7 linked regions of the Bombyx mori genome follow. The protein of the gene in region 7 binds, or shares a complex with, the protein of the main gene of each other region. Links are inferred from orthologs where the notes say so. Each region holds a gene or a part of one and is shown on either strand. Other genes may lie near its edges. The genes, in order: Znrd1; transcription initiation factor IIA subunit 1; general transcription factor IIH subunit 5; RNA polymerase I-specific transcription initiation factor RRN3; DNA-directed RNA polymerases I and III subunit RPAC1; general transcription factor IIF subunit 2; DNA-directed RNA polymerases I, II, and III subunit RPABC3.

Region 1 (2,963 bases), on a different chromosome or scaffold from region 7:
TTGCTGGCTTCATCCTACACATTTTTGTATTTGTGTCTCTTACCTGTCGTTTTATCCGTTGCATCCGGTTTGAAATCACAACGATTCTAAAGAAGTTTTCACTTCAAAAGACAGGCTGTCAGTTTGAGGGAAAAATGTCATGATATAAAAAAATGTGTTTTACGTTTTTAAAAGGTTCAAAGATAAAAATCAATTGATTGTTAATGTATACGATTTTAAGGTGCGTGTGGAATAAATAAATGCTTCCTATACTGCAGTTTGAGTTTAATCCGCAACGACGACAGTTGTCAACATATTTCCTAAATACCTACTAATCTATATATGAGAAACAATGAAGATGACTGATTTTAGAGATCCACTATTGAAGAATTGCGTTTATAATTTCGTTTATAGAGTGGAGTTAGTAATAGTGTAAAGAGCAAGAGCTAAAAATGAGCTGTAGTAGACTGTAGTGGTTATATCTACAGCTACTGGGAGCGTTCTGTAGTTCTGTAGGCATTGTCACAGACTGTGGTAGAGAGACAAAAAGTCCACCAAAACTAAAACGTAGAAGTGCAATCTTCATTATTTTAATTACAGCACGTCATTTCGTATCCTCCCGATCCACTAACGGTGCTTTTAAGCACTTCAAATCACCAGTCATCGTTCTCGTCGAAACCGTCGCTTGCGACAAAGGGCTCGGCGAGTAAATTAACCCACAGACACAACCCACTGAGTTTCTGGCCGGATCTTCTCAGTAGGTCGCGATTCCGATCCGCTGGTAGATTCAGAGAAGCACTGCTCTTGCTAGGGTTAGCGTTAGCAACGTCATCAGGTTTGAGTCCCGTGAGCTCACCTACTTGTTAGGTGACGCTAACATAGCCTCTCAAGGCTATGAGCTTAGGTAAGAAAAAGAAACAGTTACTGAACTTCATCTTTTCAAATTTTAGTTACAAGTGATCTAATACTATCAGTATGGGCTATGTTTCCTTTGTCAATTGTCAAACAGTTAAAAAAAATTGTACGTAAGTAATGAATTTATCATTATAGTAAAAAAAAAATAGGTTTTTGTATAGCAAATACTTAGGGTATGTATACACTAAAACTGTCTAAAACCCTTCACAAAAATATATAGTATGCTTCATATTGGTTTAAAAATATATTTTGGTTATGTTTAGTACTAATAGATAAAGATTTAAAATAACCTAATATTCTAAACAAAAATACACAACCCTTTTAGTGATAATTGTGTTTACTTTTAGAAATAATGTCCACTGAAAGCCCGTTATCAACTAGTACAGCGTTTTGTGCTCGCTGTGGGTCCATATTACCCTTGCTACAAGAGTTTGGCTCCGTGAAATGCTACACTTGTAAAGCACATTATGAGGCTGATAGTAAGTATATAGTTGCCAATGAAAAAATTACTTTCATATAAACGGGATACGATTTTTCAGCGTTATGCTTTTGTATAATTTTCGAATATTCACTATTAAATTTATAATAAATAAAAAAACTTTAGTGATACTTATGAAATCCAGAAAGAACCTGTTGTATTTGTTTTCGAAATATAAAATAAAAACTTAAAAAAATGTTTTATTCAGAAATTCTTTTTTTACAGATTATAGTAAAATGAAATTTCAATACACAATACATTTCAATACTATATCTGTGATCACAAATGAGAATATACTACATACTGATGGTCCTGAGGGTCCAGTTGTGGAGAGAAAATGCGCTAAATGCGGTTACGACAGAATGTCATATGCAACTCTACAGTTACGATCGGCCGATGAAGGACAAACAGTTTTCTACACATGTATAAAGTGCAAGTATGTAAATTACAATATTTATTTGTATTTCGATGAGCAAGTCATCAATATCTGTACTTGTATTAAATAAAATTGGACCCTACCACTAGCCTAAGACAGGAAAATAATTGCAACTTGTGGCCAAATTTCCTTGGTAATATAAAACTGGACATAATAATGATCTTGTAAGCAACTACTATCTCAAAAATAAAATTATTTCCTAATTTAAAAAAGAACACATCGTACAAGATAATATCGTAAAGTATTATTTATTTTCAGATACAAGGAAACTGAAAACTCCTAAAGGCTGCTTTATACTAGTTTTAAGGTTGTCAAAGGAAAACTCGGCAATAGAATCATTGTATCAGAATCACTTTATGCAAAAATCAGTTTTACTGATTGTTTTAAATTAGGTAAATTTAATAAGGATTAAAATTAATCACCATGTAACTGGTGCGTAATTTTAATTCCATTTCTTGGAATGATAACTTTTAAACTGTAAATTCTATACTGATTAATCTTAAAAACCATGTTTTAAAAATTACATGTAATAGAATCAAATCTGAATAATTGAAATTATAAACATTTGTCCAAATGTTTTTTTTATGCTGAGAAATACATTTCTATTTTTAAATAATAAGTTCAATGAAAGTTTCTTTTTCAAAAGGTTTTATTTCCATGTTTCTAAAACCATAGCAATATTGAAGAGTTTTATGCAACAAGTTTATTTGGATCTTAGTGTAGAAGATTTACATTTGACAATTTTTGATAAACTTATAATACACTACTCAGAAATAATTCTATGTAGAACAAGCTCGGCCATATTAGTTTCCTACAGTAAGCATAATATGCCTGTATAACAAAAGTACACACTGCTAATCTTCCATAGTAGAAGTCACTGGATTCTGTAATACATACATATTTATTAAGGAAAATTTTTACCTGCCTCCTAAGGCCTTATCCCTTGATACTAACACCAGCACAATCGCTTGATACTTGTAAACCGGCATCGTATCCTATAGACCACAACAACATCAAGTGGGCTGTGAGCTAGCGTAACCATACAATGAAGAAAAATAATCGTAGTATTGGCAACAGTGTCCGTTGTGAATGATGTTTTAAAATGAGATTTTGCTCTAGAAATGTGGGCAGAAGCTATGATGTGGTTGTTTTAGA
Region 2 (4,092 bases), on a different chromosome or scaffold from region 7:
CTTTACCAACTTAAAAAGTTATTAATTATACAATTTATGACACTTAAAAATTCTAGTACTTATCCTTGATTGATATAACACAGTTATTAATAGCAATGTAAATTAGGTATAACGGTATTCTTAGTTAGCATTGTAATTTTAATTGTAGTTAACATAAATTTCTATTATCATTGACCCAAATAATTTTGCTAACTTGTACATAGTTGGAAAATTTTACTTATTAAATATTTAAAAAAATAATAATGTATATTAAATCATTAAAAACAGAAACTTTCGAAATGTTGCAAATTTCGACAAGAGATGGTTTTTGAACTGCCATAAAACCAAAATTCTACATTAATAGCGAACACATAGTGAATAGTAAACAAATTTTAGTTTGATCCTACGTTAATTTAGACTTCAGGTGAGCGAGTAATGATATTCTGGAACGTATCGATCTGCTGCAAATAGCTAGCCGACGAACAAACCAACACGGTCCCCACTAGACCGCGTCGACCGCGGACTATACAGATACACACCAATCACTGACAGATGACGTTATTTCCCCGAAATAACTAGCTGTGCTTTTAATTTACCTTTAATTAATTTACGGTAAATGTGCTGTATTGTGTTATCAAGAGAAGTTTGATTTGATAAACTGAAAAAACCGTGTTTCATTCGGCATTGGTATCGATTTTGTTCGTTACAATATTTACTAAAAGAAAATTGAGGTAAATGAGTACTGTAACCCTCATATTTTGATATTTATAAATTTTTAATATTATATTGAAGTCAGAATATATAAGAATGTTCCATTAGAATACCTTCTTACCAATTGTCGTGCTTTAAAAATCTGTCACAGAAAGAAATGTATTGAGTCAAATGAATTGATGATGATTGATGTCAAATTAATAACGAAAGCATATTATTATACACTACCTTTTCAACTATATAAGTTTAAGCCCCTATTTTAAATATAAAAACTTCAACGTCATTCGTTACAAAAAAAATGAAAAGCTTCGACAAAGACGAAAAGTTCTTTCCAACATTTGGATTTCCCGCCACAAAAATACTAAAATTCAATTATTGTCTATGCCACCAATTTTAATCAACATTTTTTACAACCACTGAAAAACTGAAAAATCTATCTAAAATAACAATTAAGTTTATAGTTACTCTTGTTTCATAAACGTCCTATTATGCGGTTTTATTAAGAATGAAGTCTTTAAGTTTTCATAGTACAAGATAAAATTGAGTGTTGCGTTGCTTGTACTCAACAGTGCAATAGTTTAATATAAATAAAATATAAATATTATTTAGTCAATATTATTTAACAATGGTTTAAGTAGAAATGAATTTCATTAAAATTGGCTTGTAACGAATTTTTTTGAATGAATACCGTTTTTTGTGAAAATTCTATATTTTTAAATTTCATCATTCAATGTTATAACAATAAATTTTAGATATGCCAATTTTGTTTTGAAATTTTAAAGTGGTGGCTCTTTCCTTTCAAACCGTAAAATCAATTTAAAGGCAACTACCCAAGGCGCAAACTCACCAATACGTAATCAACCGGGGCGCGGTGCGGGGCGGTGCTATTTCTCGTACTCATAACGCATGCGCCATCTTTGTCGTCGTTCAATGTCGGAATCAACGAACCATAGACAATTATTTCTTTAAAGGCTACGAAATATTTCCTCGGTTTGTAGGTTATGTTTGAGTGATCAATTGTCAAAATTTTTATGGTGAATTTATAAATTTGTCTCTCTTTATGTAAATGGACGTCATAAAAGTTAAAATAAGCTACTTTAGCCACATATTATCTTAAATATATAAAATTGGTCATCAACATTAGTGAATTAACAAACTGTGTGAATTCCAGAAATTTGACATTGAAATGTTGCGATGTGAACTCAGAAGACAAATAATCGGCTCTAAACTAAACTAAACAGATTTAGAAACAAGAATATCTAGTTCTGTGAACATTTTACACTGTTAAACAATTTTCAACTACAGCTCGATTGCAAAATGACAACGAGTCAGCTCGCAGTATTGAAACTTTACAACATAGTGGTAGACGACGTGATATCCGGAGTGAGAAATTCTTTCTTAGATGACGGTGTAGACGAACAAGTGTTACAAGAACTAAAACAACTATGGAAGACAAAGCTTCAAGCCAGTGGAGCCACGGACCCGTTACAACCTGAGCCGATGCTGCCACCTCCTCCAGTGTTACAGAATTTCCAAAAAGTAAATGGTAGTAATGTAGTGCATAAAAGAACTGACATGGGACATACTTCGGGGCAACAAGAACATAGTGCACCAGCATCTAGTGTAGCTGGAACGCATACTCATCATATTCTAGACCCTAATAATAAAGTGCCAGTTCAGCTTACATTACCTGCTCAACCTGGAGTTCCAGGGTCCCAGCCTCGTTCATTTACCATTCAAATTCCAGCATCAGCTCTGAACGGCAACAAACTGCATCAGGTCTTAACAGGTCCTATAATAAATGCTACCATTAGCCTTCCACAACCTCTAGCTGCTACTTTACTGCAACAACATATCAACTCGGCTTTAGCAGGACAAAAAAGTGATTTTGATAGCGGCGGAGGCGGCCGCAGTGGAACTGCTCCTTTCTCTTTAGATGGTGCTTTGGACTCTTCTGATGATGATGGCTCAAACGTAGGTGATGGTTCAGAAGACGGTGCAGCAGATGATGATGATGATGACGATTCTCCCGAAGAGCGGGCAGAAGAAGAAGAAGAAGAACAAAATGAAAGTGGTGGTGCTGAAGAAGAACCCCTAAATTCCGGTGATGATGTATCTGATGAGGAGCCAGGGGACATGTTTGATACTGATAATGTAGTTGTTTGCCAATATGATAAAATTACACGCAGTCGCAATAGGTGGAAGTTCTATCTCAAAGATGGAATCATGAATCTAGCTGGAAAGGATTATGTATTCCAAAAGGCTAATGGTGATGCGGAATGGTGATTATAGACAGTGTGTATTTTATAGAAAATTATTTGTTATATCTCGGAATTAGGGCTTAAGGTCTCATAATTATTATTTCGTTATTTCGACATGTAATTTGATGTCTGTATGGCAGATATCTGTGTAACAAGATTACGATAAGATTGTTAAACAAATTATGAAAAAAAAAAAACAATCTTTAGTAGGTAGATTTGAAGTTTTCTAAGACACTAGTATTACCAATAGTAAAAAACTCTACCAAGCTCCTTCAGTCTCACTTCCCATTAGTGTGTTTTTTGTACACTACTGAGACTACTACTTACTAATATAATTACAAAAAAAAACACAAAAAAAAATCTAAATGAAAGATATTTATTTGACTTTGTGCTTCTAATATCGAGATACATATCTTGACTTATTGGGTATTAATAATGTACAATACAAAAGAAGTTTGTGAATAATTTTGTTATCTCTTAAGTTGATGCTCTTTAATTTAAATGCCACTATTAAAATTACAATAAATGTGACACATGACCCATGTTTTTTTTATAATATTGAAAATGTCCTTAATTTCATTTGTTTAAACAAAAAATATAATGCATAAATAAACAACTTTTAAATTTAATAAAAATGAGTTAAATTTCCTCTTTAAAAATGAAAAAAATATTTATTACAGAGTATGTAAGATCAAAGATAATTTAAATATCAAACAAATAGTCCTTATTAGAAGCAAACAATTAATTTGGTTTTTTTTTAAATTTCTACATCTCAACAATGGGCAAGGACTGCAAGGGCATGATACTTTAAAATGTAATTATTTCTAATATAATAATATTATAGATAACGTTTAGGGGGTTTTATTTTAATAACGAATTAAATTGCACTCTTAATATTAAGACTTAAAAGGAAAAATAACTACACACAAACTCATATGAAAGCTATTTTTACAGAAGGAGAGTCATCATGTTTCTAATGTAAAAAAAATCAGTTAGGCTGCTTTAAAAAAGTATGGTAAATTTCAAAACAGAGTGCACTTGTCCACAATGATCAACCTATTATTTTTATTATTCACATTAGAATATTGTTTTTTTTTCTTCATTATTTCACTGGCTTAGTAATCTATCCATGTATTTTAAA
Region 3 (4,390 bases), on a different chromosome or scaffold from region 7:
TTATCTAAACAACAAAAAATTGGTCTAGGCGCAGACCTCGCTGTCGGCTCAATTGAAAAAAAAAAAAAATGAAGAGTATGGGCGAAGAAATATATATTGCTGCGCGGAAAGTTAGCAAATATGAACATTATGAGTGATTTATCTATCCGATGATATGTAGGAGAAGTAAAATGTCCCTTAGAAATAAGGTGACACTCTACAAAACTTGCATACGCCCCGTCATGACCTATGCAAGTGTAGTGTTCGCTCACGCGGCCCGCATACACTTGAAATCATTCCAAGTCATTCAATCCCGTTTTTGCAGGATAGCCGTCGGAGCCCCGTGGTTCGTCAGGAACGTCGACCTCCATGACGACCTGGACTTCGAGTCCACCAGTAAGTATATGCAGTCGGCGTCAATGCGCCACTTCGATAAAGCGGCACGACACGAGAACCCTCTCATCGTGGCCGCCGGTAACTACATTCCCGATCCTGCGGACAGAATGGAAAGCAGTCGACGTCGCCCAAAACACGTCATCTCGGATCCTCCCGATCCACTAACGGTGCTTTTAGGTACTTCAAGCACCGGTCACCGTTCTCGTCGAACCCGTCGCTTGCGACGAAGGGCTCGACGAGTAAATTAACTCTTAGACACAGCCCACTGAGTTTCTCGCCGGATCTTCTCAGTGGGTCGCGTTTCCGATCCGGTGGTAGATTCTGCGAAGCACGGCTCTTGCTAGGGTTCGTGTTAGCAACATCGTCAGGTTTGAGCCCCGTGAGCTCACCTACAAAAGTTAGGGTTACGCTGATATAGCCTCTCAAGGCTCTCAGCTTAGGCAGGAAAAAAAAAAAAAAAAAAAAAAAAAAAAAAGAATGATTTAGAACCAGCAGACTTCAGAAATGATCTACGAATGGATTCGAGGTCGTTTGACCAAATATTAAGCCTTGTGGCACAATTTTTTTCAAAAGCAGGATACTATCCTACGATACTACTATAGTCTATTATATATCTATATTATATAACTATTACATATCTAATCCTACGATAGTATAAGTCCAAAAGAAAGATTGGTTGTAACATTAAGATTTCTTGCAACAGGAAATTCGTATCAAGATTTAATTTTTAGTTCTTTATAATATCCCAACCCCTTCTGACAAAAATTATCCCTGAAACAAGTTGGGCTATTTATAAATGTTTGGCACATTTAATAAAGGTGAGCGAAATAAATACTTTTTATTCGGAAGTAAAAAACAAACTAAGCCGTCCTTACGCACGGAGAGCTATGGGACGACTGAAATCATTAAGTAACTAAATGCGATTACACCTTCTTATATGCGTTTCTAATTAGGCTTCTAAATGATTTAGTCAGTCAGAAACCATCCTTGCTACTGAATTTAGCAGGTTAACTTACTGAATGCTATTACACCGACTAAATTTAGCAAAGTGTAATGAGCCTTCCACACTTACCCATAAATAATAGATATTAAGTGTATAGTCTATGAATAATAGTTTATAATAGTAATAGTATTCTGTATAACCTATGGTATCTACTGAAAGTAGGGAGTAAATAGGTACCTACATACTTTATTTACAATTAATTATTACATAAAGTGACAAGTTCTAAAACAATGAACCATGGTGAATGTAATGAAAGGTGTCCTCGTTGAATGGTATTTATTATTTTTATTTCTCACAAATATTACTTTTACATATGCAAACTTACAGATAAAGTTAGAATCGTTACAATGTGCTTTAATGATTTGAATTTTAAATTACATCAGTTAATCAATTTACTACGTACAATATATTAACTTGCCAAAGAATTTCTTCTTTGGTTTTTCCCATACTTAAATTTAATGTTCTGGGCCTAGGTTATGAGGAATGCCTTGTATATAAAACTTCATTCAATGTAATCCATATCTTTAGGTATGTTAAAATTTTCTTCTAGTGCATCAATATCTATTTGAAAACTATTTTTTATATAAGATTTCAATATATATACATTTTCTGTCCATCTGTTGCTGGCTGTTTTCAATTCCTACAAAATGAAACATTTTTAATCCAATATTATTATTTGATAATATTATAGTTATGTCTTTGGTTATACATACTACCACCTACAGAAAGCTATTTATCAAAACATAGTATTTTTTTAAATGTACTTTGTTTTCCTTATTTTTAAATAATGAATACAATGCTTAATTAATATACTGATAAGTTATATTGAGTAATATTACCCACCAAATAATAAAATATATATTTTCTAGCATGAAATAGACATGTTAGACTTAAAAGTCATTACCAGTTGTAAGCTCATACAGTTTTGTCATTCTGCCTACATCTGCCAAAAAAAATATACACATTCCAGTTTGATCAGTTCACTTGGCCTTTATGAAATATAATAGTAACTGATCTAATGTGTGCAATATTAAAGTGGGTAGCAGAAGTCACATTGTGATACCTATCAACTTCAGTAACTTACTTAACACTTCAGAAACACTAAATACTATACTACTATAGAAAGGCCATGAACTGATTCATCAATTACTAAATCCTTAAACTTGGGACATTGGCCTTATCTATTGCGCTCACAGTGGGGCGCTAATATGAGCTTGAATGGAATATAGACCTTAAGACATCATCTCATCTACATTAATATAAGAATTGGATTTACAGTTATTTCACGTCTCAGTTGTGCAATATATTCAGGATCAGATTCTCTGTATTTTTGTAATTCTCTCTTATATGAAGCCTCTTGCTTTTGAAGATCTTCTAAAGATGATAATATTTTTATTCTTTCTTCAGATATCTCTCTGCCTTTCTAATATTAAAGTCAATTAATAAATATATCAGTCTCTGATAAATATAGAATAGAATTAAGTTTCATTATAACTCTATAGACTATACTATACTAAGTAAAAAACTATAAATATTCTGACCGATTCTGCTATAAGGACTTCCTCAGTTTTCTTTAACTTCTTCGTACATTCATCAAATTCATTCTGGAGTTCTTGTAGCTTCCTCTTCTTGGTACTTTTTGCTTTGCTACAAGTAATTTATTTAATGTTTGCATGGCATTACCACAGCTTGCTTGATTTGAAAAATAATTTTGCAGTCATAAATTTTTAAAAAGCACAATTGTTTACTCTTAATTTCTCATAGCATCAGTGTGTAAAGTCCATGTAAATTTTATTATTCAAAATAATAAAACTAGTCTTAGTCAATGACTGACTCGGTGGTGCAAAAGTTGGCACCCCTGACTGCCGAAAGTTGTGGATTCGATTCCCATATTGGGCAAAAATTTATTCATTCAGCTTTACTGCTTACATGAGTCCACCTGGTTTTACATGGTAACCGAAGCCCATAGACATTACAACATAAATGCTGCCACCTGCCTTGAGACAAGATTTCTAAGGTCTCAGTTGTAACAGCATGATGACCTAACACCCTTCAAACCGAAATAAATAACTGCTTAATGGCAGAAATAGGCCAGATTTGACGCCAGATGATAATGTACTGTTCTGTTCCCAGTTATTTAGTTAGTTGTTTAACATAGTACCTTGGGAAAGACCAAAAGTACACTGAAGTCCCAATTTTTTCAGAATCAACCAGGTGATCATCAATTAGACTCTGAATCACTTCTTTAACTGATTGCATTGTAATACCCTTTTCTTTTGGTGCTATTTTTTCTAGTTCCTGTAAAAGTTAAAATATAAAATATTATCTTAATAGATTTTGTTATGGCCACTTCTGTTTTATGTGCTGTCTAAACATTTTCTTTTGAACTAATTATTGACTATTTGGTGACTCAACTAACATGATCACCAACAAATAAGAAATTGGACTCCTACCAAGTAAGTCAAATGATGAGTAAACATTCGTGAAAACTTCATTTATTATTACTTTGCTCTCAATTAATTAAAAAACGACCTTGCATTGCTAGTAAGTAAGAAACTCCAGACACTATTTCACACTGTCTCATTTATCCTAAATAAGAGATATATTTTATTGCTTAGTTGAGTGGAAGAGCTTAATACCCACCCCTGGTGTATGTGATTAGGTTACTGGAGTCAACAGACATCACAATGTATGTGCCACCCATCAGTATTATCAGATTTCATTAATTATTTATTGTGAAAGTCATTTATAAACATGTTTAATTACAAAGTTCATTACTAAAATTGGCACCTAACCGCTGGGTTTAAACATTGCTATAATAATACTGTTTAATATGAGTACATCTGGCATCTTATCGTTTAGGGCAGAGTGACATCGAAAGCTATGTATGAAGTTGTAATTTAATGAGGTTACCTTTAATTGAAAAAAATCTTGACTTTGATGGAATATTTCAAGCATTCTGGTCTTCTTTTCATCAGCACTAAGACCTCGTTTCTTGGACATTTTCAGTGA
Region 4 (4,234 bases), on a different chromosome or scaffold from region 7:
TGTGCGGCGCGTAGTGCATGAAGAGTCGGCTGTCGAGCGACGCCGTGCTGTTGAAGTGCAGTGCTTGCTGGCCGATATCCAAATTCCGCGGATTCTCCCATGGTATCGCGAGTTTGTCTCTTGCGTCCACTAACACCTGTATGCCTTTGACAATGTTCTGATATATCACATGCTGGTACTCCCGCACGAGTTCCGGTTCGAATTTCACTTTGTGTATGATTCTCATCTGTTTGAGGAATGTTGACTTTCCGCTTTCACCCGCGCCGAGTAACAACAGCTTCACCTGCCGCCGCAAAGTTTGCTTATCTTTCTCGAGTATTCTGTCGATCTCTTTACTCCTATATCGTTGCTCTATCTCCTCCGGCGATAGCTTCAGACGCAGCCAACAAGTCAGAGCCTCTGTACAGCAGGTACATGACCACAAATCGTTGGCCATTTTGCATGATTATCAAGACAATTAAAAAAGGAAACAAATCAAATCACACTTTATTTGTACAGTTCATTATTTTAAAGTTTTCCAACACAACACACACACTGATAATGATAATACAAAATGAAGATTAAATCCGGAATTCCGAAATACACACGCATTCCACCCCTCCCAATTTCATTGAGAAATGAAAAGTCACAGATAAACGACAAACGTCAAAAATTCAAGTAGGTAGGTACCGTACATGCAGTCTAACATCAAATCACATTCGTAATCTGTAATGCAGACACAACATTCATCTCTACTGTATTCTCTTATATTCTTATTTATATATGTTGTATCTCTATTGAATTCAATAAGTATTGACAGACAAAATAAAGCGGAGTTTATATGAATAATCTAATATTTATAATACTATCAAAAAAATTCGATCGTTCGTACGTTCAATAGATTTGTAACTTTTTAACTCAGTGTTTCTACTTAGGGGAAAATAATAGACAAAGTTTAATTAATCTAAAATAGGAGTCGATTGGCCAGATCGGAGTAATTTTTTACCATGTGTATTATCTACGGAGTTTTTATACGAGTTTCATTCCTAAATTGGGAAAATAAAACTTTTCATTGCAATAATACAATTTTTTTTAAAACATTAAATCGATAAATCAGCTCAAGCTCAAACTGATGACATTAATTATTGAAGTCAGAACTAACTTATTTATAACATTAAAACTATACACAGAAAATAAGTGCTGTCGATAGTTTAATGACAAAACGCAAAAGGGCTCTCATCGAAATAGACAATAAATCTAAAAATAAAAAGTTTTAATAGAGACCAATACCTCAACTAATATGTGCAGTATTTAGACACTAACATGGTGGCAGCGCTTAATACGATTTTATTAGGCGTCTAATTCTTCAAGCCACAAAATTAATTATGCTTTCTTTCGAAAAAGACTTGGTTCGAGTCTTTCAAAAGAAAAGACTAACGTATAGTCATTTTATTCTTTGCCTTTTGAAGATAGAAAAATCAAACCAAAATGACAAATTTCGGCGTGTCAAATAGAAAGTCAAAAAGTTCCGCGCACGTTGCGCACGTGTTCATAAAAGGAACTGAGGTGAAGAATTAGGTTTAGGTGGTTTAATTTGAACGTACGTGTACATTTTCCGTTAATTCATCATAAATATTAATCAATAAAACATCAGCAACATTGTACACAATGTAAAACTTAGAGTTACCGTTAAGCTATGTCGAGAGAAGGTTATAGCCCAGAAAAGAAAGAAAGTGACAACAAGGCTGTTTTAGAGCGATTACAGTCTTATTTGAAAGACAAGAAAAACACTGACGTTTCCGACACGAGCGCCGGGTACAGCAAACCAAGTACGAGCTACGATCCGAACACAAATACTGTCCCGAACATAGAAGATAGTAGTAATATTTTACGCGAAGTACTGAACTACAAAAAAGCAGAATTGCTTCGGCAACCAGACGTAACAGAGTTTTTAAAGGCAATCACGAAAGACTTGAAGAAGTAATGGCGGTAGCGGCTAGGAAAAGCGTCGCGTCCTTGATGCAAAAAACTCTGGATCGCCAAGCGGCTTTAGCTCGTACTAGATTGAAATTCTCCGAAAAACAAATAGAACAGATACTTCTTAATTATGCTAAAACAGGAAACATTGGACCTTACTCGGAATTAGTCAGAGTTTTGAGAGATTACCCATTAAATGATGAGAATTTTCGGATTATTCTCGAAGATTGTCTCTCTTGCGTTCTGATTATGGGACAGGATTTCAAGCAGTTTGTAGAAGCAGTGTGCAATGTTGAGTGGGCTAGTAGGTGTGAAAAGTTAGTCAACCTTTTCAGCACCTTCATCATTAGCCTAGTCACTGCACATATTTACCATTGTCCGCAAGTGATGAGCTGTCTGGTTAAGGTTTTTAAAGGTAAGTTAGCAACACACAGTGGTAGTTCTAGTATACCTGGACAATGATAGCCACTTACGATTCATTGGTTTGTAGGAATTATGAAGATGTCATAAATTATGCTATTACATTATATTATTCTATAATTGTAATATTAAATATAAAATTGTTAAAAGACAAAGAAAATAGAAATGAACATATAAAATATATATTTATATGAACGAATAATCAGTAAATACTAATAAAAACATTGTGAAATATTGTGAAAGAATTTAACACATAAAAGTCAATACAAGTACTCTTTCAGAAATCTAGTAACATTTAAGATTTGAGATTTTCTTTTATTTCATATTCTTACTAATATAACTACTGAAATATTGTATTGTATAAAACTGAATTATATTATTATCATGCTATTAGTCCGTTACTTTTATTATAATGCTTAGATAGGTGGATGAGCTCACAGCCCACCTGGTGTTGAGTGTTCACTGAAGCTTATAGACATACAGAATGTTAATGCTACCACCCACCCTGAAACCTGAGTTCTAAGACTTAGTTTTTACAGTACATCAACTACCCCACCCTTCAATCAAAATACATTACTGCTTTACGACAGGAATAGGCAGGCAAGTGGTGGTACCTACCCACGCATGCTTACAAGTTTCTCTACTGATAGTAATTAAGGAAATTAAAACTTTTACGGGTTTGATTTTTATTACACAACTTCACTGTGGAAGTCATTTGTGAACATTAGTTAAGTAAGTAGTATTCCATCAGAAAAATTGTTACCAGCCTGCAGGATTCCAAACCAGCAGTCACAAGTTGAAGTATCCAAGATAATATTTAAAAAAAAATATTGCCTTTTTAGGCAGACTTACTTAATCTAATAATAATTTTCATAACATTAGTTAGAGATATATTTGATGATGACTATGATATTTTTAGCTAATGAAGAAAACTGGGATGACACTCCACCAACAGAGAAATTGAATAGCTGGTCTAACATTCATACAATCATAGGACAAATTATCGCAATAATGCCGATGTAAGTATTTTACGTAACTTTCTTTAAGGTTATGCTTCATATTACATTGTTTGTGGATGTTTATATCTATCTAACAATTTAAGTAATGTCAGGACTATTTTCTAATGAAGCGCCCTATATGTGTCACGATACATAAAAATTTATAAAATATTTACAGAAATCTTCAACAATTTGAATTAGAGTGGTTTGGGAATTTAATTATTTGAGTATGTGTATTGATTTAGCCCCAGTATTTACTCTTAAGTGAGTGGATATAGGCTAATATATCAAAATGCTTCATGAAGCATATTGATGATATATTTGACAACCTACAAAGGTTGGATGAGATATTTAATTGGTCAGATCTCATTATACTAAAACAGTTCCCTTTTTGGGAACTGTCTTCTGCAGCTAACTAAAAATGTTTGAATACCACAAGATCATCACATAGATGTTTAAAAAGTTTATGGGACCCACCATACTACTTACAAAACATTAGCTGATGAGATCATATTTGAGCCTTCTGTGACACACTCAAAAATTTTAATATAATACTTAATAATAAATGGGTCAATGAGAGACTGAAATTGTTCTCTTAAAATAACCAGGTGCACAGAGTTCTATCTGGCTTTATAAATGACTCTGGAAACTATGTTGTGTGATTTTGCACCTACATCAATCAATACATAGGCGGCACTGAAAATTTCGGGAATTAACGAAGTGACACAACATTACTATTTAAAAATGTATTTATTGCTTTTCGAAGTATTCTCCGCGAAATTTGACACATTTTTCCATACGATGGAACCAATCATTGAAGCAACCATTCCATTCGGAAGTTGGGGTCTCCAAAATGGCCG
Region 5 (4,306 bases), on a different chromosome or scaffold from region 7:
AAGTCGTCTTAAAGTTAATAATGTTAGCGTTTCTTAAGTAAATAAAAAAATAATAATAATAATGATTTCTTTTTGTTTCCTTTTGTTGGAGTTTACTCCTTTAGAATCGATTTACATATATAGGCCCGGGGTATGAAAATTATGGGGACCAAAATCGTACTAGCATGTCACACGAAATGCGTTATGCGCCTGATTGGCTCCTGATTGCGTGATGCGTGCGCGCGCCAATCAGGAGCCAACGCGCGGCCGCGTTATCGCAGGTGACGCCGGGCTGCTGCGCCGGCAGTCCGCCACAAAGCCTCGTACTGATCGCGCGTTTCTCTCATTATTGTATTTTCATATATTTGTTAGTCGTTTGTTTTGTGTCTCGTTAATTTGTTAATAATCTGTAGTGTATCGTGTTGTCGTAATATAGAACTATTTCTCGTATTGTTTCGTTTAATTTTTTATATCCAGTAAACTCCAGTCGTGCGTCGGAGCGGACACACACACTTTTTTCATTTCTTTCTGTTTCGATTTACATAAAACAGACACGACTTCACTTACTGTAACAAAAATTAGGATTGTATGGTCTTTGATCCTTTTGCCCAGCGAGTTGTCAATTCAAACAAGTAAAAACCTCTATTTATTTTCCAATACGGTACGGTACCGTACCGTAAAATGGGGCGATTAGGGACAAATTCCAACTTTATGAGCAATTTTAAGGTAGTTGTTGATGTATATAATGCTATATCAGGATCAAAATGATTGAGTCTTGGGGGCATCTTTGTTGTCTAATTTAAAATTATGCAACTAGCATTCCAGTTTAAGCAAAAAATGCAAAAATAGGTGTAATCTCTATTTACCCGAAAATTGCGGTTAATTGGGATGTAATGAGAAATTTGCTAGGGTTGGCACTATTTTTATTTTTATATATAGTTTTAATTTATTTATTTATTTAGTTGCACCAACAAAGTGATCATCAATAAAAAAAAATGAAAAACTGACAAAAGTACATGGCAGACATCACCTCAATTATAGGTGCAATCGACAGTGCTGATATTTCTATCTGGGTTAAGAGATTAGGTGTGTCGGTTATTCCATGGATTAATCAGATGAATACCCCCACTCTGAACAAATATTAAATATTTTATTATGTATTACTTAGACATTTTTGTCCACCTTGAGATTTCATTGATCTTGTTACATGTCTCTGCAAAATCGACTTACTTATATTAAATTGCTTATCTATTTCAAATAAAGACTTATTCCCAATTTCGCTTCGAATAAACCAGATATTTACCAACAAATTCAAAAAATATTGTTATAACTACATAGACAACCCTACAAACCTGTACCTATTTATACTTAGGTCGTTTCCATTTCACGTATTCTCATCCCAATTGACCCCTTTTTCGTTGTTATTTGTACCTAAGACGTCCCCAATAACCCCAAAAACAACAGATTTTTACATGTATTTTTATTTAATCAAATACATTAAAAGCAATAACAACTGAGACTTACCTTTAATATATATGCTGGTTCAAACACTAAATAACGTTTATAAATCATAGTCGTCTTCTATTATTATCAAATAAATAAAAGAGAGCAAAGTTTCTAGCACTAAAATAATGACCACCACAGGAAGTTAATTTGAAACGCGATTTTTTATAAGTTAGCAGCTATTATCATGCATATTCAGAGTTGTTTTGTGAACTTTCAACATTCTACTATTAAACTACAAAAAATGGAAGATTTTGCAACGAATATAAAACTTATATTGAGCGTCGAAAGATTTTCCCGGTTTTTTCCCGATTCGCCTGTCAATCCCTAATCGCCCCATTTTACCGGTACCGTACCTATGTACCTACATAAGTACAAACTTACATTACTTACTACATAGTCAAAGTTTAAATTACCTACTAAAAATTACTTAAAATCACTACTTAAGTGTATAATCTATGATCACTACCTTACGTAAAATCATCGAAATATTTAATTTTGTCAATTATATCTGTATAAAAATATGCGACAAACTTTATATACAGTAAACGTTACTGTATACCTGTGAAATAAGATAAAACCTTATTTACATTAATTAGTAAAATATTGCAAAAATGCCTAAATTCGATGAAAAACCCCGAGTTTTTCTTGAAGAATTCCGTGTTAAGGTTCTCCTTTAAATTGCAAGACTTATTTACAACGATAAAAATGCACATGATCATAACCTAATAATTTTTGCCCGTACAGAATGCACCCGAAGATTACGGATTAGACGATGAAACATGGGACTTCAAAAAGTTTGTGAAGAAGTTTAAGATAGTTGTAGTACGAATGGACAATTTCGAAATGGAATTTGACTTGATTGGGATCCAGCCAGCATTTGCGAACGCATTCCGGAGACTCATGTTAAGTGAAGTTCCTAGTATGGCTATTGAAAAAGTAATGATCAAGAACAACACTTCTATAATACAGGATGAAGTTTTAGCACACAGATTAGGATTGATTCCTCTCAAAGCTGATCCAAGATTGTTTGAATATAAATCTGAAGGTTTGTGTACAAATTATTACAAAGCCGAGACCATATGTGGGCATTCGTTTTGGAAGATGATTGTTTTCTGTGAAATTGGTTGTCTAATTATTTTTTATTTATCAATTACGTAAACTAGTACACTAATAAAACCACAAATATTCATTTTTCTAGTATCCTAAAATTGACAATTTAGAGCTGGAATGCAAGATGTTATTAAATACTCACTTTTATACCTCAATAAACATTTATATCTCATAATCAGTAAAGTTTTCACAGCCTAAAGGATAAGATGCCTGGTCCATTTTTATTATTGTAACTATGATGAAATAAAAAAAGTTAACAGAAAATAAAAGAATTGTTTGAGCAGCTCTTGTAAATAATTTGAAATTTTATTTTCAGAAGACACGGAAGGAACAGAATTCAACACTTTAGAATTTTCACTAAAAGTAAAATGTACCAATAGCAAGTCACAACCAAAAGATTCATATAGAGCTGAAGATTTGTATGAAAATCATAGTAGTGAGTTTTCTGTATATCAATATAATAATGTGTAACAAACAGCCTATTAATGTTTTTAATATAACAGTAGATCGCAGATCAGCATATGGCCCTGGTATTAAGCTTGCTGCAGTGCATAGATATAGGTGATTCACTCACATTAAGATATGGGATTGAAGTTTCCATTCCATAGCAAAACAGCTATCCTTACAAACTGGATTCCTTTGCAGTAGAAATGGACAAGATAAATTATGACTACCAATACCAAACTTATAGAATGTTACTGCCATTTTCTGGTAAATTTTTTAGCCACCTGTAACAACACCATGGTAAGATATAGAGTGGTATTGTTGTATGCTGATAGGACAGAACACAGAGCTGATTTTTTGAACTATGGACTAATCTATGAAATTTATATTTATAGTTTTTTTATATAATGCTAGATGATTTTGTTATTCTTAATACTTAGTTAATTACAAATATGTTTATACAGTTTATTCATCCCATATGAAGTGGCATCCAATTGGCAACCAAGCTACAGTTTATAAAGAAGCTGATGTGGGTCCTGTACATAAGGATATTCTTATATCAAAAATGAGACCTGGCCATGAAATAGACCTTCAAATGATTGCCGTGAAGGGCATAGGAAAGGATCATGCAAAATTTTCACCTGTTGGTTAGTCCCTTCTTATGAATATTTTATAAAATGAGATAAGCTTATTTTAATTATTAAAAAAAATGGTTTAACTAACATATCCATTTTATTCTACAGCAACAGCTACATACAGATTGCTGCCAGAGGTAACACTGACTCGTGAAGTTTGTGACAGTGAAGCCACACTGTTGCAGAGTTGTTTCTCACCAGGTGTTATTGGTATTGACTCTAAAAACCGAGCATATGTGAAAGATGCAAGATATGATGCATGTAGTCGTAATGTTTATAGATATGACACAATCAAAGATTCAGCAATCCTAAGTAGAGTTCGGGATCATTTCATATGTAAGTAGCCATATGTAAATTAATGAAATCATAAAAATGCCACAAATAATTACATGTGCAACAGTTTTTTTGCTATCAATGCTGGTTACCTCAAGGGGGTCTAGCTTCACCTAACGTGTAGGTAAGCTTACAGGCTCAGTCTGGCGAATTTGCTAACACTAGCCCTAGCAAGGGCAGTGCTTCTCAGAATCTACCACTGGATCGGAATCGCGACCCAGTGAGATGATCTGGTGAGAAACTAAGTGGGCTGTGTCTAAGGTTTAATTTACAAACCCAAAAATCTAAAAAAGTAAAAA
Region 6 (4,153 bases), on a different chromosome or scaffold from region 7:
TTATGTCTATTATTATAATGATTTAATGAAAAAATAATTACATAATTCACTAGGACCTCTTGGGAGTCCACACGGGTAGGTACCACCACCCCGCCTATTTCCGCCGTGAAGCAGTAATGCGTTTCGGTTCGAAGGGTGGGGTAGGCGTTGTAACTATACTGAGACCTTAGAACTTATATCTCGAGGTGGGTGGCGCATTTACGTTGTAGATGTCTATGGGCTCCAGTAACCACTTAACATCAGGTGGGCTGTGAGCTCGTCCATTCATCAAAGCAATAAAAAAAAATGCAATTAGATGTGTTTTTTTTTATGAACATCTAATTTTAAATTCAAAGTCACTACTATTCTCAGTTTCAAAGTATGAACAGTATTATCAAAATTAGAATATAATATATACAGTGAAACAGTTTCTTTTGGCCTTTATTTTTTTTATTAAGACAATGATTAAATTTTTTGCTTAATAATGTGTTAATAATTTTATGTTTAGACAAATATAAAATCATCAGAATAGTATTTATTACCTTTTGAAGATCCTTAATATTGTAATACTGATGTTTCTCAAATGCTGCAAACAGCATATTGAGCACTGCTTCTTTATCATCACGAGCCTTTTTCCCTTCAGCCTTCTTCCTTTCTTGGTAGTCAATCTAAATATTTTACGAAATTTTAATATACAAAATTAAAAAAAGCATGATTAACATAATGAAATGAAATAAACTTAATAGAATACAAAAAGTAAAACAACTTAAGAAATTTTAAAACCTGTTGTTATTCATTGTGTCACTTGTGAAAAGTTTTCTGGTTGGTTTAAGAGCTCATAGAAAGTAAAAATATACAGAGCCATTTGTTTTTATTTACTGATGTTTATAATTTAATTTACTATATAGATGAGTGAAGAACCCCGTGGTCCACCCAGTGTAAAGTGGTTACCTCACTAGTCATCATAACATGAATAGCACCAAAAACCTTGAGAAGTCGAAATCTCAATTCTATTGTATGAGGTTTTCCTTCAAACCAATGTGCTTAGTGTGAACTTTTTAACTTCTCGATCAGAGTTGGAACAGCACCCCAAGAAGCAAACGCAGGGGCGCTATTCCAACTTCATACAAATTTGAGTTATTTTTTAAATATAAATAAATATAAATATAAATATTTACTAACAATCACGCCACGTTAACTGGTCCCGTGCTAAGTTCGTAAAGAACTTGTGTTACAAGTACCAGATAACGGAAATAAATATAATATTTTATTATACACATACATATATTTAATGTACACCCATAACCCTGGAAAGACATTTACATTTATCATACAAATATCTTACCTTGGCGGGATTCGAACCCGCGACCTCCTTGTGTAGTGACCATGTCACTTACCACTACACCAGACGGCCGTTTGATCAAGAAGTTAAAAACTCACACTAAGCACACAATGATTTGCTGTAAACATAAGCAGGAGCAATATCTACACACACCCTACTATCTGTACCAATACCACACATATATGAATGCCCACCCATCTTCAGATAAAAGGTGGAAGTACCTATTGTATTTTATACCAGCTCAAGATGCAAATTTTACAGTCTTGGCCATCCCAAGCTACTAAACATTCCCTATTTACCGTTCCACCATTCCAATTATATCAATCACTACTTATGTCCCATTAATTCCTAACCTATGGAGGACTGTTATCAGATAAGTAGCTATCAATAACTACACAATTTATAATTTTTTATATTGATCAATCATGTTTTTATTTTCGAGTTTGTCTAAATGATAACTTTGCTATACAATGGGAGCAGACATTGCTGCAACCTGTATTTTAATACTTCTAGTAGAATTTATATGAAGCATTTCATTCAACAACATATCCAAAGAGTATTGAACTGCATCTGGAGATCTCAGAGCTCTACACATGCTCTATTTAAAACTTTTTAATCATCTCTAGTTTGACTTCCAATGCAGTCAGGGGCATGTTTTAATGATCAGTTGCTGAAAAATACAGTAAATCAATCCTTTAGATTTCAACAGTAAACATACATTATGTGGATGGTCAGATACTGGTTTGAAGTTCTGAACAATCCTGTCAAGCTGTTGCACTTGTCGCTGAGGCATGGATGCTTTCTTTATTGATTCAGATTTAAGCTTATAGTATGTCACATCATCATTTGGTCTGCATTCCAATTTCTGTACAATCCTACCCTCCATGTAAAGGTTTTCTGTCTCTGGTACTACAGAGTCCGTATTTGTCGCTAAAATGGTTATATTATGAATAAACACGATTAATATAATATCGAACTTTAGACATGAAATTAATTTTATCATTGAGTTCACCAGGACATGTTAGGAGGCGTTAAATATAGATAATTATGAGACTACTTACGGGCAATATGCGAAAATACACCTAGAGATTGAGTATTAACGTTTGAAACATCAAGCTTATGTTCTTTTGGTATGCTTTGTTCACCAGGGTCCTTTAAACATAGCACTGCTTCTGACAAGGATAACTGCACTTTAGCTCTCGTTCCTGGTACTCTGGAGATCTTTAGTTTTCCTACCTCAATGTTTCCAGGAGCTTTTTCCCATTTGTTTGCTATATATTTAGGTACTTTTACCAACCATACTCCTCTACCAGTATTTGATAAGTCCAATTCGGTCATTGTTGTGGAATATAAAATCTATTAGCAGTCGATAGCGGACACTATTTTAACGGCCTTTAAAAGTACTAAAGTCGTAAAGATTTCCTTTAACTATAACTAAATCTTAGAAAATTTACTTGCACTTCCACAAAAGACCTACATAAGTGACAGCTCTCGAAAATATTAAGTGTATAATCTATGGTGACAGCTTAACCACAGATTAATATAATAAATACCGTAAAATGGGGCGATTAGGGATTGAGAGGCGAATCGGGAAAAAACCGGGAAAATCTTGCGACGCACAATATTAGTTTTATATTCGTTGCAAAATCTTCCATTTTTTGTAGTTTAATAGTAGAATGTTGAAAGTTCACAAAAAAACTCTGAATATGCATGATAATAGCTGCTAACTTATAAAAAATCGCGTTTCAAATTAACTTCCTGTGTTGGAAATTATTTTAGTGCTAGAAACTTTGCTCTCTTTTATTTATTTGATAATAATAGAAGACGACTGTGATTTATAAACGTTATTTAGTGTTTGAACCATCATATATATTAAAGGTAAGTCTCAGTTGTTATTGGTTTTAATGTATTTGATAAAATAAAAATACATGTAAAAATCTGTTGTTTTGGGGGATATTAGGGACGTCTTAGGTACAAATAACAACGAAAAAGGGGTCAATTGGGATGAGAATACGTGAAATGGAAACCACCTAAGTATAAATAGGTACAGGTTTGTAGGGTTGTCTATGTAGTTATAACAATATTTTTTAAATTTGTTGGTAAAAATCTGGTTTATTCATGATGTCTTTGTCTAGAACTTTTATTTAAAATTATCAATGTGTTATTTTATTGTTTGGTAAATATATTATCAGTTACGTATTGTTTTCTATTTTTAGATATGCCTCGCGTTTACGTATCAAAGAGTGCAAAGCCTTATAAGAGATATGATCCCTTAATATTAAAAACAGCAATAGAAGCCTATGAAATTGGGAATAAGTCTTTACTTGAAATAGCCAAGCAATTTAATATAAGTAAGTCGATTTTGCACAGACATGTAACAAGAACAATGAAATCTCGAGGTGGACAAAAATGTCTAAGTAATACATTATAAAATATTTAATATTTGTTCAGAGTGGGGGTATTCATCTGATTAATCCATGGAATAACCGACATAACTAATCTCTTAACCCAGATAAAAATATCAGCCCCTAAGTACTTACCAAGACCGAAGAAATATAAACCGTTTATAAGAAAGCTCACTCGTTCGAATTTAGGTGCTTACTCTCCCATATACAGAATCCTTTGGGACTACAATAATGTCCACGGTAGCGTGGTCTCCGTCAATGTTCATTCGGAGTTGTCCGATTGCGCTGAACTAATTTTAAGTGATAAAATAGATGTTTTTTTTAATTGTCTCACAACTTACAGGACAAATCTGTCGTGGATCATTTCCCAAGTAAATATAAATTAATCATAAGTAAATAAAACAAATAAATTAAAACCAAGTAGTGC
Region 7 (4,303 bases):
ATATTTGTCAAGTTTCCCTTGTTGTATGAGGATTTTTTTCTGTGAGGCTTTCGGTCCGAGACCCCATTTTCTGGGGTACGTGTCTCGTTCCATTATGACACGCTTGAGTTTCGCGGCTACACCATGATCGCATGAGGCCATCGTAGACGTGGTCATCAGAGCAACGGCCAACGCTACTGCCTCACCTTTAGTGGTGACTATTACGATTTCTTGGTCAACTTCGATGCCGTCTTCGTATCTTAAAATACCTGGTAACAGCACTTTGGCTCCGTAGCAAACAGCATTAACAGCGCTGTCTTTGATAAATATCCTTTTGTGAGCAATCAGGAGGCCTTCCAGAGGTTTGATTACTCGACGAAGATAAGTCTCGTCTTTGTGGTTTTCATACGACCATTGTGCATCTAGGATGTCGTGCATCGTGACCATGCCTTCCTTCTCGCCCTGAATGCCGGACCGTACTCGTCTGAGTTCGATCATCTGACCTCCGACGCCAAGCATCAGACCTAAATGCACACACATCGTCCGGATATACGATCCAGCCTCGCAACTAACCCAGAACACCCCAATATTCTTGTCCTGGTCGAAATCCAGGAGTTTACTGTCGTACACCGTCCTGACACGCAGTTGTCGCTTCACGGCCGATATAAGCGGGGGCCTCTGGAATAGAGCTCCACGCAGCTTCTCCAAGCCCTGTGTGACTTTTTGAATATTCTCTACGGCTGAATGCAAGTTGAAAACGGCTACATACTCTTTGCCAGCGTTCTGTTGTGATTTGACGAGTCTCGTGGCGCGGTCTATGCAAACGATAAGGCAACCCGTAACTTTCGGATCGAGCGTGCCCGAATGACCAGTCTTTTCGACTTTTAAAATACGTTTTATCCATGAAACTACTTCGTGGGAGCTGGGGTTGCTCGGTTTGTCGACGTTGATGAAGCCAGATTTGACGTAATCAGAGATGGGGCGTTTTAAAGGCGAGTTGCCGAATGGTAGCGGCGTGTAATGGTTAGTGCGCACATTTAAGCGATCGAAGTTTTTCAACAACAAAGGCCAGTAAGCGGTGTCCAGCTTCTTCACGCTCTCCGAAGGTTCGATTTTGAAGTCGCCAATTGTCTGAAAAGCTCCCAACGAAACACCATCCTTGTTTTTTTTCTTTTTCTTCTCTGAAAGTGTGTCGTTACCGGGCTGCAGTACCTCCGTCATTTTGATGAATTAACACGTATCTTTTCTTACTCTTAATTTTAGGCGATCGACGCAATCACTTGGGTAAACAATGCCCTATAATCGGGCACTGTTTATTGAAAGAACTTTGAAAATATAACACAATGCTCGGCCATATAGCACGTGCGATTCGGTTGAGGTTAGCTTCAGATTTGTTTGCGTATGATTATGGTCAGATGGCGCCAACGTGCAAAGCTCGTTGTGCCAACATTAAAACAGAAAATAATTCGGATACTTGTTAATTTTTTTAACCTTAAAGCAGAACATAAACATGTAATATTTTTATTGGACTGAAGTTTTATACTTTTTCGTTTATTATTGATAATTTTAATAATATTTTGTTAGTTTTTGACACTTAAAAACAAAAACGATTTCCAAAAAATGCCACGAAATATCGTAGTCACTACTTACACTAAAAATATTAAAGAGAAAATGGAACTTAAACGTAGACCGAAATATACATTTATTCAACTCCTAAATTTCGTACATTGTCTTGGCCTATTTATCATTAGATAGGCAAAGAGAACTAAAACTATGCCGCCGAATTTTTGTAACAAAAAACTATATTATTATCGACAAGGAACGTACAATGGAATAATTTAAAGACAGAACCCAATCCCCTCAAAATCTTAACCGTCCAACAGAAATCCATCAATTTCATAGTTGGGAATTTGCTTAAAGTCCAACAGAGATTATGGTAGACCCAAAAAAATAAAAACTATTTAACATCTTGTCCTTCCACCAAATCCTTATCAACTTCTTTCACTCTCACTTTAAATAGGAACTAACTAGTAAAAACAAATCTAAGTAGTCCAAATATATAATATAGGTAAAATGGGATTCTTTTTTTCAGTGTGAGATATTCCGTCAAAGTATCCAAATATTCAGTACCTATACTTCAAAAAAAAGTCACACTTGACATTGACATTTATTATCAATGTTTTTTTTACATAGACCTATATAGTATTTTTAGTGCCGTAAAATTTCAAACAGCAACAGAGTCAGCGTGCTTCTTTCTCATACTGTCCGTTGTTGATATTGTTTTAGTAAAATAAATTCACAGGATAAAACTTGATCATGGCGGGCGTGCTATTCGAGGACATTTTCAACGTCAAAGACATGGATCCGGAGGGCAAAAAGTTCGACAGAGTCAGCCGATTGCATTGCGAATCGGAGTCATTCAAAATGGATTTAATATTGGACATTAATTCTTGGATATATCCAATGCAACTAGGCGAAAAGTTTCGTCTAGTTTTGGCCACGACGTTGAGGGAAAACGGATACCCTGACGGCGGAGAATGGAACCCTCTGGAAACCGAAGGAAATCGAGCAGATAGTTTCGAATATGTCATGTCCGGAAAAGTATACAGGTTAGTTCTAACATAAAGGTGTTGTAGCGGCAGGTATCGTACAACAGAAGATATTTTACAGATGCAGTTAGCAATTATACAATTTCCTAACGATCATATTCGGAACGTCGAACTACCGAGCAAAATCATGTCCTCAGTGGAAATCTTTCCTTATAATGAAGCTACCTGTCACATTAGCTCCTCAATTTGATGTTGAAGTGGATGAGAGCCGAAAACGGCTCAGTGGTGTGGATTGGGAGACGCCCATGCCCAGCAGGGGACGCCTTGGGCTAATGATGATGGTGATGGTGATGATGATGAACACTTGTAATATCTATGTGGTTATAAAGTCTATATAAACCAATTTAACAGTATTATGAGTTTTGTACATAGGCAGAGTGGCACCTTCCTACAATATGAGGTACCACCACCACCTGGAATCAAATAAATCATAAATTTTGTGGGTTTCGTCATCATCGTCAGCCCACAAACGTCAGAACACAGACCTTTCCCATGACTCACCTCAATGGCTGGTCCTGTGGAGCCTGCATCCAGCAGATTCCTGTGACCTTTAGCAGGATATCAGAAAACCGAACAGAGCTGCCCACTCTCCCGGTGTACTATGGCCATTTGTGATCAATTTAAAAACTCACAAAATTTATCCATTTGTGATATTTCATTGCCTACCATTCATACTTACCTATGCGATTTGAACACTGGCAAATTTCATCCCTTAGTATGAGAATACAGTGTTCGATTTGTGATTTGATGTACCCACCAGATATGAAAATCTACAGATAGCCAATAGGACTAAAAGCAACTCCTAATTTGAAATAGCTGCCAAATGATTAATTAGTTCTCAATTACAAATTTAACGCAAACTCAACTGGGTTACGTTTAGTTAAGGTTATGTTTAGTTAAGCAAAAACAATGATATACTGTTTGTGTTACTATTTATGCTCCTGTATCAAAAATTAAATATATTCTTGTCCCTGAAGTAGTCTGGCTGATATCAGTGGAAAAGTATTCCATTGGAACTACTGCAAAGTAATCATTGTTGGACTAATAATTGTTGTATTTAATGCAATTGAGTGTACAGTGAAAGCTCTTCAGAAACCGTGAATATGGAATGGTAATTTATATATATCGGATTATAGAGGATACATTCCTAGGTGACATAGTAAAAAAAGTCTTTAGGCATAGTTGTGATAAGGTCTATTTTACTTTTTTATTTGTCCATTTGATGACAAATTTTCAAAATATGTTCAGTTCTATACCTACATATTGGAGTCCTTTTTATCAATGTGTCGAACCCGTCGCTTGCGATGAAGGGCTCGACGAGCAAATTAACCCATAGACACAGCCCACTGAGTTTCTCGCCGGATCTTCTCAGCCTGTCGTGTTTCCGATCCGGTGGTAGATTCTGCGTAGCACTGCTCTTGCTAGGGCCAGTGTTAGCAGCACTCCGGTTTGAGCCCCGTGAGCTCACTACACGTTAGGGGGAAGCTGATATAGCCTCTCAAGGCTATCAGCATAGGAAAGAATAAAAAAATTAAGCAATTTTTTTTTTTATTGCTTAGGTTTGTGGACGAGCCCACAGCCCACCTGGTGTTAAGTGGTTACTGGAGCCCATAGACATCTACAATATAAATGCGCCACATACCTTGAGATATAAGTTCTATATTCTCAGTATAGTTACAACGGCTGCCCCACCCTTCAAACCGAAACGCATTACT

What was found.
Region 1: DNA-directed RNA polymerases I, II, and III subunit RPABC3 (region 7) and Znrd1 share a complex: the UniProt entries of both Homo sapiens proteins name them as parts of the pol I pre-initiation complex. The link is inferred for Bombyx mori from reciprocal best matches to the Homo sapiens genes POLR2H and POLR1H.
Region 2: DNA-directed RNA polymerases I, II, and III subunit RPABC3 (region 7) and transcription initiation factor IIA subunit 1 share a complex: the UniProt entries of both Homo sapiens proteins name them as parts of the TBP-based Pol II pre-initiation complex. The link is inferred for Bombyx mori from reciprocal best matches to the Homo sapiens genes POLR2H and GTF2A1.
Region 3: DNA-directed RNA polymerases I, II, and III subunit RPABC3 (region 7) and general transcription factor IIH subunit 5 share a complex: the UniProt entries of both Homo sapiens proteins name them as parts of the TBP-based Pol II pre-initiation complex. The link is inferred for Bombyx mori from reciprocal best matches to the Homo sapiens genes POLR2H and GTF2H5.
Region 4: DNA-directed RNA polymerases I, II, and III subunit RPABC3 (region 7) and RNA polymerase I-specific transcription initiation factor RRN3 share a complex: the UniProt entries of both Homo sapiens proteins name them as parts of the pol I pre-initiation complex. The link is inferred for Bombyx mori from reciprocal best matches to the Homo sapiens genes POLR2H and RRN3.
Region 5: DNA-directed RNA polymerases I, II, and III subunit RPABC3 (region 7) and DNA-directed RNA polymerases I and III subunit RPAC1 share a complex: the UniProt entries of both Homo sapiens proteins name them as parts of the pol I pre-initiation complex. The link is inferred for Bombyx mori from reciprocal best matches to the Homo sapiens genes POLR2H and POLR1C.
Region 6: DNA-directed RNA polymerases I, II, and III subunit RPABC3 (region 7) and general transcription factor IIF subunit 2 share a complex: the UniProt entries of both Homo sapiens proteins name them as parts of the TBP-based Pol II pre-initiation complex. The link is inferred for Bombyx mori from reciprocal best matches to the Homo sapiens genes POLR2H and GTF2F2.

Annotation. Positions count from the first base shown.
Region 1 is NC_085112.1:11,752,560-11,755,522, forward strand, and holds Znrd1 (transcription-associated zinc ribbon protein), read left to right. Parts: upstream 1-1,240; 5' UTR 1,241-1,241; coding exon of another isoform or gene 1,242-1,246; coding exon 1,247-1,373; intron 1,374-1,597; coding exon 1,598-1,808; intron 1,809-2,066; coding exon 2,067-2,091; 3' UTR 2,092-2,382; downstream 2,383-2,963. UniProt on the Homo sapiens protein: Core component of RNA polymerase I (Pol I), a DNA-dependent RNA polymerase which synthesizes ribosomal RNA precursors using the four ribonucleoside triphosphates as substrates. Can mediate Pol I proofreading of the nascent RNA transcript.
Region 2 is NC_085117.1:13,410,866-13,414,957, forward strand, and holds transcription initiation factor IIA subunit 1, read left to right. Parts: upstream 1-1,485; 5' UTR 1,486-2,007; coding exon 2,008-2,976; 3' UTR 2,977-3,489; downstream 3,490-4,092. UniProt on the Homo sapiens protein: TFIIA is a component of the transcription machinery of RNA polymerase II and plays an important role in transcriptional activation. TFIIA in a complex with TBP mediates transcriptional activity.
Region 3 is NC_085109.1:11,979,375-11,983,764, forward strand, and holds the start of general transcription factor IIH subunit 5, read left to right. Parts: upstream 1-1,488; 5' UTR 1,489-1,615; coding exon 1,616-1,650; exon of another isoform or gene 1,651-1,880; coding exon of another isoform or gene 1,881-2,018; intron 2,019-2,654; coding exon of another isoform or gene 2,655-2,801; intron 2,802-2,919; coding exon of another isoform or gene 2,920-3,025; intron 3,026-3,539; coding exon of another isoform or gene 3,540-3,676; intron 3,677-4,291; coding exon of another isoform or gene 4,292-4,381; exon of another isoform or gene 4,382-4,387; coding exon 4,388-4,390. Other genes in the region: meiotic nuclear division protein 1 homolog, read right to left, coding at 1,881-2,018, 2,655-2,801, 2,920-3,025, 3,540-3,676, 4,292-4,381. UniProt on the Homo sapiens protein: Component of the general transcription and DNA repair factor IIH (TFIIH) core complex, which is involved in general and transcription-coupled nucleotide excision repair (NER) of damaged DNA and, when complexed to CAK, in RNA transcription by RNA polymerase II.
Region 4 is NC_085116.1:3,278,834-3,283,067, reverse strand, and holds the start of RNA polymerase I-specific transcription initiation factor RRN3, read left to right. Parts: upstream 1-1,394; 5' UTR 1,395-1,962; coding exon 1,963-2,371; intron 2,372-3,295; coding exon 3,296-3,395; intron 3,396-4,234. Other genes in the region: Galpha12 (G protein alpha subunit), read right to left, coding at 1-436. UniProt on the Homo sapiens protein: Required for efficient transcription initiation by RNA polymerase I (Pol I). Required for the formation of the competent pre-initiation complex (PIC).
Region 5 is NC_085131.1:5,578,785-5,583,090, forward strand, and holds the start of DNA-directed RNA polymerases I and III subunit RPAC1, read left to right. Parts: upstream 1-1,498; 5' UTR 1,499-2,096; coding exon 2,097-2,150; intron 2,151-2,229; coding exon 2,230-2,530; intron 2,531-2,911; coding exon 2,912-3,031; intron 3,032-3,503; coding exon 3,504-3,686; intron 3,687-3,782; coding exon 3,783-4,010; intron 4,011-4,306. UniProt on the Homo sapiens protein: DNA-dependent RNA polymerase catalyzes the transcription of DNA into RNA using the four ribonucleoside triphosphates as substrates.
Region 6 is NC_085110.1:12,712,165-12,716,317, forward strand, and holds the start of general transcription factor IIF subunit 2, read right to left. Parts: upstream 2,852-4,153; 5' UTR 2,660-2,851; coding exon 2,383-2,659; intron 2,252-2,382; coding exon 2,040-2,251; intron 648-2,039; coding exon 522-647; intron 1-521. UniProt on the Homo sapiens protein: TFIIF is a general transcription initiation factor that binds to RNA polymerase II and helps to recruit it to the initiation complex in collaboration with TFIIB.
Region 7 is NC_085130.1:16,021,242-16,025,544, reverse strand, and holds the start of DNA-directed RNA polymerases I, II, and III subunit RPABC3, read left to right. Parts: upstream 1-1,492; 5' UTR 1,493-2,295; coding exon 2,296-2,588; intron 2,589-4,303. Other genes in the region: H/ACA ribonucleoprotein complex subunit 4, read right to left, coding at 1-1,200. UniProt on the Homo sapiens protein: DNA-dependent RNA polymerase catalyzes the transcription of DNA into RNA using the four ribonucleoside triphosphates as substrates.